Linked DNA regions of Drosophila melanogaster. The protein of the gene in region 1 interacts with the protein of each later gene in a pairwise test. Each region holds a gene or a part of one and is shown in the gene's direction. Other genes may lie near its edges.

Region 1 (3,533 bases):
GGAGCCGCTTGCCTCCAGCAATTAATCAAAGCTCTCGCACTACAATTAATCAAAAATCGCCATCTTTCTTCGTTGAATTTCAAAAGGAGCTTGGCTTTTGCTCCTGGCCATAAATATTATTGCCAGTGGTGATATAAGAAATCGACCAAATAGAATTGGCGGCGTTAAAACGCTCACCTTAGATGTGACATCGTTTCGTTGACATATTCGCGTTGCTCTCATAAATCAGATATTTATATGGAGTGGGAAGTTGGGGGACTCAAAACCAAAACCATGGGCGGCTTTCGTCCTTTCATCGTCCGGAGATCGGTAATCTCTGGATGGCAATTTGATGGCCATGAACAGTTGACAGTTGACTTTTTATTTATTCAGCAGCAACATTTAATTCAATGGCACCTAGGCGTAGGCTCTACAGTTCTAAGCTCCCAATTTTGAAGACCCTAATAAACATGAGTACATACTTTGTACATACTTTTCATTTATCGGCTAGAATACCTGTACGATCAACATTGGTACTGAAATGTACGGAAGCTGTCCTGTAATCGAGGCCTTACTGTGTCGCAAGCATGCCGCTTTAAGAAGTGTGGAATAAATGAAACAACGTCAAGTAATCGGCAGACCGAGTCAATATTAATGACGACTTCATCTTTATTCGGTTGATACGCCATATATTCAGATCTCAGTTCTTCCCCCCTTAAGTTTATCCCGTCACGATTTTTCGGTTTTCTGTCGCAGGGTCTTAGTAACATTTATTGTACTATTTAGTCGTTATCAAGCAGAAAAGCTCAAGAAGAGCACTTGTGGCGCTAAGCGATATTCAAAGCAAAAAATAATAATAAAATTGCAAATTCATAAACCTGGTTGACACTGAATACCTTGTCTCAATGCTTCGCGGCAAATTTATATTACATCAACACGGATTTTGCAAGGTCGACCGGATATGTTTGATTTTATTAGCCTCTGGACATCTGGTATGTCTGTGCTTAGATGCCCTGTGATGTCCTTTTCACATGTAATGCTATGCAATCCCCCGGGGCTACAGCAACGAAGTGTTAAACGAGGCTCAGTGTGAGTTAGTGCCAATACAAATCTATTTCGGCACGGTTTCCTAGCGTGCAACCAGAATTCTGACAATGGTTTTAAGAAATAATGGGGACCTCCTAAATGCTTTCAAAATGCTTTCGGCTGAGAGGAACAACAACTGATACGTTGGGCATAAAGGCCCCGGGGCATTAGAAGTGTTAATAGAAAAGTGCCTCCGGCTGATCAGGTTTCGTTGCAGGACCGAATGGATCGCCGCCTGAGGTGTTGATGAGCTGGCCTTGAAAATTCCTACGACTTTGGATTCGAGCGACAATGGTCTAGTGTTTAAGATAATGTCCGAATGATCCAGGGATCGGAAGGTCATCAGTACATAAAATAAATTAAATTAAATGTATTAACATAAAATTAAAGATTTTTTAAAAGTCTAAAATACCTAGCCTTGTTAATTAAAGATTATTTTTTCGTAAACACTTTTGGTAGTGTATAAATTGTAAATGTCCCCATTTTTATAATTGTAATGACAGTCTATTCCACTAATTTTGTTGTATTTTGTTAGTTATACAAATTGGATGGCCACTTTCAATAGGAGATACAGCTTTTTACTTCGGAGGTGTTTTTACTTGGCTCTGATGTCTGGACCTTGTTGCCTTTTTAAACCGGTTGGCAGCCGGCACGCGACAGGGCCAGGTTTTCGTTTGGGGACGACAGGCAGCTGAAAATGAGCAAAAACACTCAGAAACTCTTCCCACTCGACAACGGGAACACTCAGGTCACCAACAGCTGCGTTTTACAGAGAGAACGAGAGATAATATTACTACCTCTCTATTAAAATCAGAGAAAACACTCATCTCAAGAGACGATCCTTCAGTGATGATGCTGTTGCACCTTTTCCAGGGGCAGGTAGGTAGTCACGCAGGTGGGATCCCTAGGCCCTGATACCTATAAATAGCCTGAACGGAACGGGGAAGGGCATCAGAACAGAGCCAGCGCTGAAGCAAGGAGCATCGTCACACAATAACGTTATACTATCTCTTAAAATGGCTTTGGGCAGCGAAAATCACTCTGTTTTCAACGACGACGAGGAGTCATCTTCGGCCTTTAATGGACCCTCTGTTATCCGGAGAAATGCCCGGGAACGCAACCGCGTAAAGCAGGTCAACAATGGCTTCAGCCAACTACGACAACATATCCCTGCGGCCGTAATAGCCGATTTAAGCAATGGTCGCCGGGGAATTGGTCCCGGCGCCAATAAAAAACTGAGCAAAGTTAGCACACTGAAAATGGCAGTAGAGTACATACGGCGCTTGCAGAAAGTTCTTCATGAAAACGACCAGCAGAAACAGAAACAGTTGCATTTGCAGCAGCAACATTTGCACTTTCAGCAGCAGCAACAGCATCAACACTTATACGCCTGGCACCAAGAGTTGCAGTTGCAATCTCCAACTGGCAGCACAAGTTCCTGCAACAGCATTAGCTCTTATTGCAAGCCAGCAACATCGACGATTCCGGGAGCAACACCTCCTAACAATTTTCATACCAAGTTGGAAGCCAGTTTTGAAGACTACCGTAACAATTCCTGCAGTTCTGGTACTGAAGATGAGGACATCCTCGACTATATATCACTCTGGCAGGACGACCTGTAAAAAAACAGATCAAATCTTCAGCTATTGCTAGTCGCACCCAACCATAACACACATCAAACCATTGATTGGCCAACAAGTATTACCTCAGCCACAAAGTATTTATATTCCCTAGAACTACCTTTTTGCCTTATAAATTAGTATTTAAGGTTTTATATAGTTTCTAAGGATAGTTTCTAATGGAAGACAATTTATATTTAAGTTTTTTTTTATAGCATACATTGAGGACATTAAACTGATATATATAAAATTTTAAATGAGTTTTTATTGTAAACAAAATTAAACGGTAATTAAAGTGAAACAAATTTATGTACAAAAGGAGTAAAATTCAGAAAAGTTTTAATGAACAAATGCTTTATGAATATGGGCGTAGCAATGTTTTGATACAAACTTGATCCTGTCCTGTATACCACAGGACACGCTTCCTTTTACCTGGTACATTCCTTTAAACGATCCTAGTATACGCTTTATTCGGGGTAAGCCCGAAAAAAGTATTCGAAACTGTAACCGTTAAGTATTTACAGATCACTAGCCAATGAAGATAAATTACAATAACATTTTGTAAACACTTTTGATCGAAAACGCCGATTTGCATAAATAAAGTTGGATTGAGTAGGGTGAAAAAGGCAAAATATTTACCTGCTGCATTTTTGCATATGAACCGGTCAAGGTAATAAGATCCTGAGAATTCACAATTCCGGAGAGATCGATCGATCGATCGATGAATGAACTAATTTTGAGTTATTCCCGCAATGCAGCCGAAACAAGCGAAAAAACAACGGTCGGCAATTGTTCAGATCGCCCCCGACAACGTTCAGAAAAATGAAAATAAGATCTGCTCAGGCATTC
Region 2 (3,528 bases), on another chromosome or scaffold:
TATTACGAAAGGCGACAAATGCCGAAGGGTTGGTAATCGGACTATGCAAAAAGAGTTTTATTTCTTTCATTTTGGAACCCCCAATGCGCCGAGATAGCGAAACTGTTACACTTAATCGATACGCTTCAACGAAAAGTCAACCCACAGCCCCAGCCATAGTGGTGGTTGTGCACTGTGAGAAATATTTGAAAACTTAAAAAAAAAAACTGATTACATTTGAATTCGGTTATAAGTAAAATATCAAAATATATATATTTTCCATTCTTCCGAAATGGGGTGATCTATATTTATTGGTAATTAACATAGTTGCTGTTATTGAAATTGTTTCAAATCTACTTTAAACTCCCAAAAAGACCGCACATTTTGTCCACGTGCAGTTGTCGCAGTCATCATCATCAGCCAAGCATGCGACATAATTGCGCGAGTTAAGGCTGCCCCTCCACCCAGCCATCCCTCACCAGTTCGCCCACTGCCCCCCATTGGCGGCTGACAGTCAACCCGCTTGAAATCAACCAGCAGCAACAGCAACAACATTTCAGCAATCCATCGGATCGCATCACAATCCAGCCATCCGTCCAACGTGTGGGAAACACACGACAAATCTGTTTCCCACGGTCTCGTAAAGTAGGCACACCGCACACACACACAAACACCCATCCCCATCCACTGAGCCATGGGACCCACAATCACATAGGCTACTGCCTCGTAGGCTCCCTCGTGTCTCATTCTCATTGTTGGTGTGAGCGGTACGGAGCAGCGGACTTCGACAGCGAATGGGAGCCGAGCACTGTCATCATTGACAATAAGTATGACATGGATGAGGGGGGATGGAGGGCGGGGTGGAGCGGCCTGAGAGACACGCGCAGTCGCCGAGAATGAGATCCAATCCGAAAGCCGACTGTCGACTGCCGACTGCTCAGTTTCCCTCTGGCCATGCAATCAATTGAAGACGACGCGCGCCAGAGCACCAAAGCTGCAGATACAGATACATTTGTATCTGCGGCGGGGCACGCTCTCGCTCGCTCCCATTGCATGCACCTTGGTTCGAAGTCGACTAGTTTCGGTTAATAATACTAATTTTGGACTAATAGTATTACTTTCAATAAGCAGATTTTACGAAAATAATTGCAGTTTTATTAACTTTGTAAGTGATTAATATTTTTTGAAATTGCTTTCTTTCAGGTCTTAAAATTTAGCAAATTTTTAAATCGTCCTTTTGGTTGAACAATTATGTTGCATACTTTTGAGAGTCATATAAAAAATAGTTGTAGCAAAATATAAAGAACACAAATTTAACACTATTGGAAATGAAAAATATTGATATTATATTCGCATTGCTAAAATGGATTATTTCTTATTTTTTATAATAAGCATAATTAAGAAGGTAAAGAGTTCCATGGTGATGGTCCCACTGTACCCCCTGCAGACGGTACAACCCCCATCATCGATGGCCTACAGTAGCCTCTCTTTGTGCCGCTGCCGAGCGCCGCTACCGATCCGCGACCGAAAAGAACCGAAGTGGAACTCGATCTTGGGCCCGAGTGCCTGGGAGCGTGTGTGAGTGATCATGCGGGAGCTTTGTGGCCGGGAGAGCCTGATCCCCGTTTGCCGGGAGAGCGTGGCTGTCATATAAAAGTAGGGCTGGGAACTAGTTTGCCACTCATTTCGTAAAAGTGCCGCCACTCGAACGCACCGCAATCGGTGGAACGCGCAACGCACGCGCAACAAACTCGTCAAAAAGTAACCAATCTATGAAACCAACCAAAATCAGTAGTGATAATGTGCAGTTGAGAGACTAAATACAAAAGAACAATCCTTAAAATACACAACATAAAACAACCCAATCGATCATGGTCATGGAGATGTCCAAGACGTATCAGTACCGCAAGGTGATGAAGCCGCTGCTGGAGCGCAAACGGCGAGCCAGGATCAACAAGTGTCTGGACGATCTCAAGGATCTGATGGTGGAGTGCCTGCAGCAGGAGGGCGAGCACGTCACCCGGCTGGAGAAGGCGGATATCCTGGAGTTGACCGTGGATCACATGAGGAAACTCAAGCAGCGGGGTGGTCTTTCGCTGCAGGGAGTAGTGGCTGGTGTTGGCAGCCCACCCACCTCAACCAGTACCGCCCACGTGGAGTCCTTTCGCTCCGGCTATGTGCATGCTGCCGATCAGATTACCCAGGTCCTGCTGCAGACACAGCAAACCGATGAGATTGGGCGCAAGATAATGAAATTCCTATCGACGCGACTAATTGAGCTGCAGACGCAGTTGCTCCAGCAGCAGCAGCAACAGCAACAACACCAGCAGCAGCAAATACCGCAATCATCAGGCCGCCTAGCCTTCCCGCTGCTGGGAGGATATGGACCGGCAGCCGCCGCTGCCGCCATTAGTTACAGCTCCTTCCTGACCAGCAAGGACGAACTGATCGATGTGACATCCGTCGATGGCAATGCGTTATCCGAGACGGCGTCGGTTAGCTCGCAGGAGTCCGGCGCCTCTGAGCCCGTCTGGAGGCCCTGGTAATTGGGCGTGCCCAATATGGATCTTATCCCTAATATTATAATCGCAACCCAAAAAAATGGCTATTGACCGTTCTGCAACAAGATCCGTTGTCTTCCAAAGTAAATCATATCAACCTAAGTTAATTGAGGTCTAATCGATTTCTGAATGGTTTTGAAATACTTTTAGTTTTAGTTCCGATAATGGTAATTTGTAAATTAATTGTTTAATTTCAACTGTGATATAACTAAAGTACGTTGATCAATCAATCAGTGAATATATATTCGAGTGCGCTATTTTCCTACTCCAAAAGTTCCCTAAGTTTAATATCTCGTTGCGCTCTCTTTATTGTTTAGCATATATTAAGCTTTAAATAATTTATAAATGTTAATTTATGATTAGTTGAGAAAGAATAATCAAAAATACACTACCCAAATAAAATAAATGATTTAAATTGAAAACACAATGTTTTTCTTTTGCGGGATTTCAAAATTTTATAAAATATTTATTTTGTTATATTAATAAATATAAACAAACTGAACGATATTATGCAAACCTAACGGAATACTGTTCATTCTTGTCCCAGTCCGCCAATGTTGTTTACTGCCCCAATAAATTACCTTTAATTGAACATCACCTCAAATGTATGCAACACATTTTCGACTCGACCCTGATTCATTCCCATAAGCAGATCATCTAATTGGAGCCTGTTCTTACCACCAATCTGATCGGCAATCAACAGATCCTCTCTACCTGCCCGATAACTGGTTGGCATTGTGGTCCAAATCAACAGGCCAAACAACAACCGTCAATATGCACTACCTGCTGGCAGGTAAATTGATCAACAATAAGACCAAAAAAGGTTCAGGATCGAATCGGATTAGGGTCCGCTCGTTTTTCAAATGAGTCATGCCAATTAAGAAAGGACTTCGCTCCCCATTTATTTTCTGTGTTGATTTGTAAACGGAAAATTGTTGGAACAATAAGGGGGAAACAAAGAATTTAGATTCCTATTCAATTATTTTTT
Region 3 (3,758 bases), on another chromosome or scaffold:
CTTGCAAATAGACCGTAGTAATTAAAGGCACGAAAGCCGAAGAGCAATAAACACAAGCTTTTCGAGCCCAGTCATGTCTCCCATTCAGCCATAGCGAACCAATTCAAAACCATTTCTAACGCAGACGATAACCAGAGAGAGACGTGTCGTTTTTCACAAACAACGACGCGCCCGCTCATTTTCAATGAAAATTTCCACAATTTCCTCAATGGATCGTCGTCGACCCATCATGTGTGTGAAATACAATCGTGGATTTCTTGCCCAGAAACCCTGCAACTTCTTCGGTGCAATGGAGTGGGAGAGAAGTCGAGGCGCCTCGAACTCTTATGTGTGTTCAAGATGTCGTGGACTCAAATTAAGATAAGATGCAGATAAGCCGTGCATTTCGATTTAGCCGTTTGAAAACTCGTTAATAAGAATTTGGTCAATCCACTGATAACGACTAGTTTTCCATTGAACGGAGGCGCATAACGCTTATCTTTGTTAGGAATAAATATGACAAATTGAACGACTACCGTTTAATCGTTTGTCTATATACGAAAACTTAACAGGATTGTTCGAGCTATCAGTTTATTTGAATAGTTATTGTTAATGAAAACTACTACTAACTAGCCCAATATAATATATTATGAATATTTACTCTTCTTATTTTCAAATGATTTAAAATTTTCACCATTCCACAGCGATTAAAATCTAATTTACCCATGCATATATTTAATATTCATTCTGTAATTAATCAAGCCCTTGTTGAACCACTCGCATTGTCTTTTTCGCCTTTTCGTGTTGATTGTGGAACCTCCTTATCCCACAAAACACTTTTCATTCATTTTCATGCTCATTCACAAAACATGAGAAAAAAAAAAGAAAAACAAACATTGCAGTCGTGAGAGGAAAATTATTGAGCGAGAGTTACTGTTCGTGTTTTCTCATTTTCAGCTGAGAAAAGCAGCCGACCAATCACAAAACCATTTCCCCTTTACAAAAAACCGATCATTTTGCATCTCGTGGAGAGTATTCAGATTTGTTTGGAGAGTTTCGGAGAGGAACTCGTTAAGCCGGGTCTACAAAGGTGAGTATCTGTGGACCGTGGTGGAGTCAGGGGAAATGTTAGTGCTTTAAAAAGTGTCTACTATGTGTGGAATTTGGATTGTATCTTGTGGATTGGATATTGTGGTAAGGTTGAGTTTCATTTGGTATCTCGGGTAGAAGTCAATGAGGTGGATGTTCGGGCACACAGGCTGTAGAACTTGTTGGATATTTTGTCAAGAACTGAAAGTATCCGAAAGGATTAATTCATAGCATATATACCTCAGTTGTATTTTGAATTATTTTAAATTAGTTTTCTCAGAATTCATGGGCTTCACACTACACATCTTCCCCTCTTAAGATCTCAGGCTTAAATTCGTACTCCATTCTCATTGTGGATTTGAAATGATGACTGTGAAGACCAAACACGAAGGGCTACCCCTTAATTCCACATTCTTGTCCACCAAAGCAGACCTCTCCGCAACTCACCTCTTAGGAACTCTCCTAAATTCCGGTTTCAAGTTGTGGTCCAAGTTCCACATGGACACCAATGAGACACATTCCCCAGTCTCCACTCTCCAACCAAGTACATATCTCTCTCCAGCCGAACGAACCCGAGAGCGAAGACTCCGCCTATCGGATTCGGAAATGCCCGTTCGGGGGGTATAAAAGCGGGCGCTCTGAGCGAGCACCACTCATTCGTTGTCTGACCGCTCGCAGCAAAAGATATAGAAATCGAGAACGTAAACGCAGAAAACACGCTGGATTAAAGTGTTTCGTTTCGAACATCGACAGAGTGAGAAAACAAAGTGAAGTGAGCGCACAAAGCCGAAATCAAATCAAATTGAAAAGCCAGTCAAGAGCAATCTTTAACTGAACCTCGCAAGTAATCCGGTACGACCGTGTAACAACCGCCAAGATTCTACTCAAGGAGCGTAAAGCAATCATCTCCAGAATGAAGTCCCTGACGGCCGTCTGCCAGACAGGTGCCTCCGGAATGCCGGCCTTGAATGCCAGCGGGCGCATCCAGCGCCATCCCACGCACCGCGGCGACGGGGAGAACGCCGAGATGAAGATGTATCTGTCCAAACTGAAGGACCTCGTTCCGTTCATGCCCAAGAACAGGAAGCTCACCAAGCTGGAGATCATCCAGCACGTCATCGACTACATCTGCGACCTGCAGACCGAGCTGGAGACGCACCCCGAGATGGGCAACTTCGATGCGGCAGCCGCTCTGACGGCGGTGAACGGACTCCACGAGGACGAGGACAGCGACATGGAGGATGCGGATGCCGAGGCAGAAGCGGAAGTCGATCCAGATATCCTCGCCCAGCGCCTGAATGCCGAGCAGCCGGCGAAAGTCTCTAGTCCCGCCGCCCGTCTCCCGCTTACCGATCGCCAAACGCCCAACACTCTTGTGGCGCCCGCCCATCCGCAGCAGCATCAGCAGCAGCAGCAACTGCAACTGCAGCAGCAACAACTGCAATCACAGCAGCAACTGTCCAACAGTTTAGCAACGGTGAGTTAACAAACAAATTGCTAGGGTAGTGAAAAACCCAAATAGGAAGTGGGCAGATGAGCACAGCTCAGGTCGAAATATTAGGAGAAATAATAAGGTTATGGAATATTTAAAGTAGTTATTTTTGAGAAAATAACATAGTTAAACATTTAAAGTACATGACTTCACTGGTTTCAACTAGACAATAAAGCGATTAATTGCTAAAGTTACGATAAGGAAGTGCGAATATCGCAAAGTTTGCGATCCACCGATTTTCGCTATTTCCTTGAGTGCCATTATTTTGACCGCAGCTGTTTGGCATTTGCATTGCAAATTTAGGAGACAATTGAGTGTCAAACTGTTTGGCTTTACTTGTTTTTGTTTCGCGAGTGACCTCATTCATAAGGCGATTGACGAATGTTTGCGTGAATGTTGTTTTTTTTCATTTTGTTTTATTTTTTTTTAACGGAAGGACGAGGCGCGTTTCGTTTCGTTGGCGAGTTTTGGGAAATTTCTTTATTGGGCGGGTGGCTTTAGACAACGCGGCCTGCCCGATTTTGTCGTACCCTCTTCTTCGCCGCACAGATTCATTTCGTTTTTATAGACATTTCACAGACCGTCTCTGTGCGATTGTATGCGTTGCGGTTGTTGTCGCCATCGTTTCTTTCTTTTGTGTGTTGCCTATACGTAGCTGTTAATTTTTTCTCGCGGCCTTTTTCTGTTGTTGTGATGTTTTAAATGAACACCTGCAGATACTTAAATTTATTTCACACACACTCGCACACACACATACTCACTCACTCACACGCACTTGCGAGCTTGAAAACGGAATTTGGAATTGGGGAATCATCAGTCTTCGTATTTTATTTCATTTGGGTTTATTTTTTGGCTCACTTCATTAGCTCTCAGCTTCGTTACTTCTTCGTTTTTGGACTTTCGGTTATTAATGATGCTGGCGAAAAAATTCGTTTGAGATCTACAATATGTTCGTAAAAACAGGTTCGAAAAAGCTTTTTTTTCAATGGGTTTCTCAAACAAATGATCGACTGGGTGGCCCGGCAAGTGTTATTAATTTTCGATCTCTGATTGTTGATTAATTGTGAAGGTGGAAACCCTTCTTCGAAATTCAGAAAGATGGTTTTGAAATCGTGCCTTCGTCATTCCTGGCTATGAGTTACTTCTTAAATTTTTGATTAATTAACTGTGGGTCTTTAGCTCAGTCCGCTTTGCGTAG

Evidence for each region.
Region 2: the proteins of ac (region 1) and E(spl)m3-HLH interact in a two-hybrid assay, tested with the Drosophila melanogaster proteins (2 studies listed by BioGRID).
Region 3: the proteins of ac (region 1) and emc interact in a two-hybrid assay, tested with the Drosophila melanogaster proteins (2 studies listed by BioGRID).

What each region holds. Positions count from the first base shown.
Region 1 is NC_004354.4:368,013-371,545, forward strand, and holds ac (achaete), read left to right. Parts: upstream 1-2,018; 5' UTR 2,019-2,081; coding exon 2,082-2,687; 3' UTR 2,688-2,935; downstream 2,936-3,533. UniProt on the Drosophila melanogaster protein: AS-C proteins are involved in the determination of the neuronal precursors in the peripheral nervous system and the central nervous system.
Region 2 is NT_033777.3:26,020,170-26,023,697, forward strand, and holds E(spl)m3-HLH (enhancer of split m3, helix-loop-helix), read left to right. Parts: upstream 1-1,653; 5' UTR 1,654-1,850; coding exon 1,851-2,525; 3' UTR 2,526-2,958; downstream 2,959-3,528.
Region 3 is NT_037436.4:747,683-751,440, forward strand, and holds the start of emc (extra macrochaetae), read left to right. Parts: upstream 1-1,717; 5' UTR 1,718-1,981; coding exon 1,982-2,545; intron 2,546-3,758. UniProt on the Drosophila melanogaster protein: Participates in sensory organ patterning by antagonizing the neurogenic activity of the Achaete-scute complex (AS-C). It lacks a basic DNA-binding domain but is able to form heterodimers with other HLH proteins, thereby inhibiting DNA binding.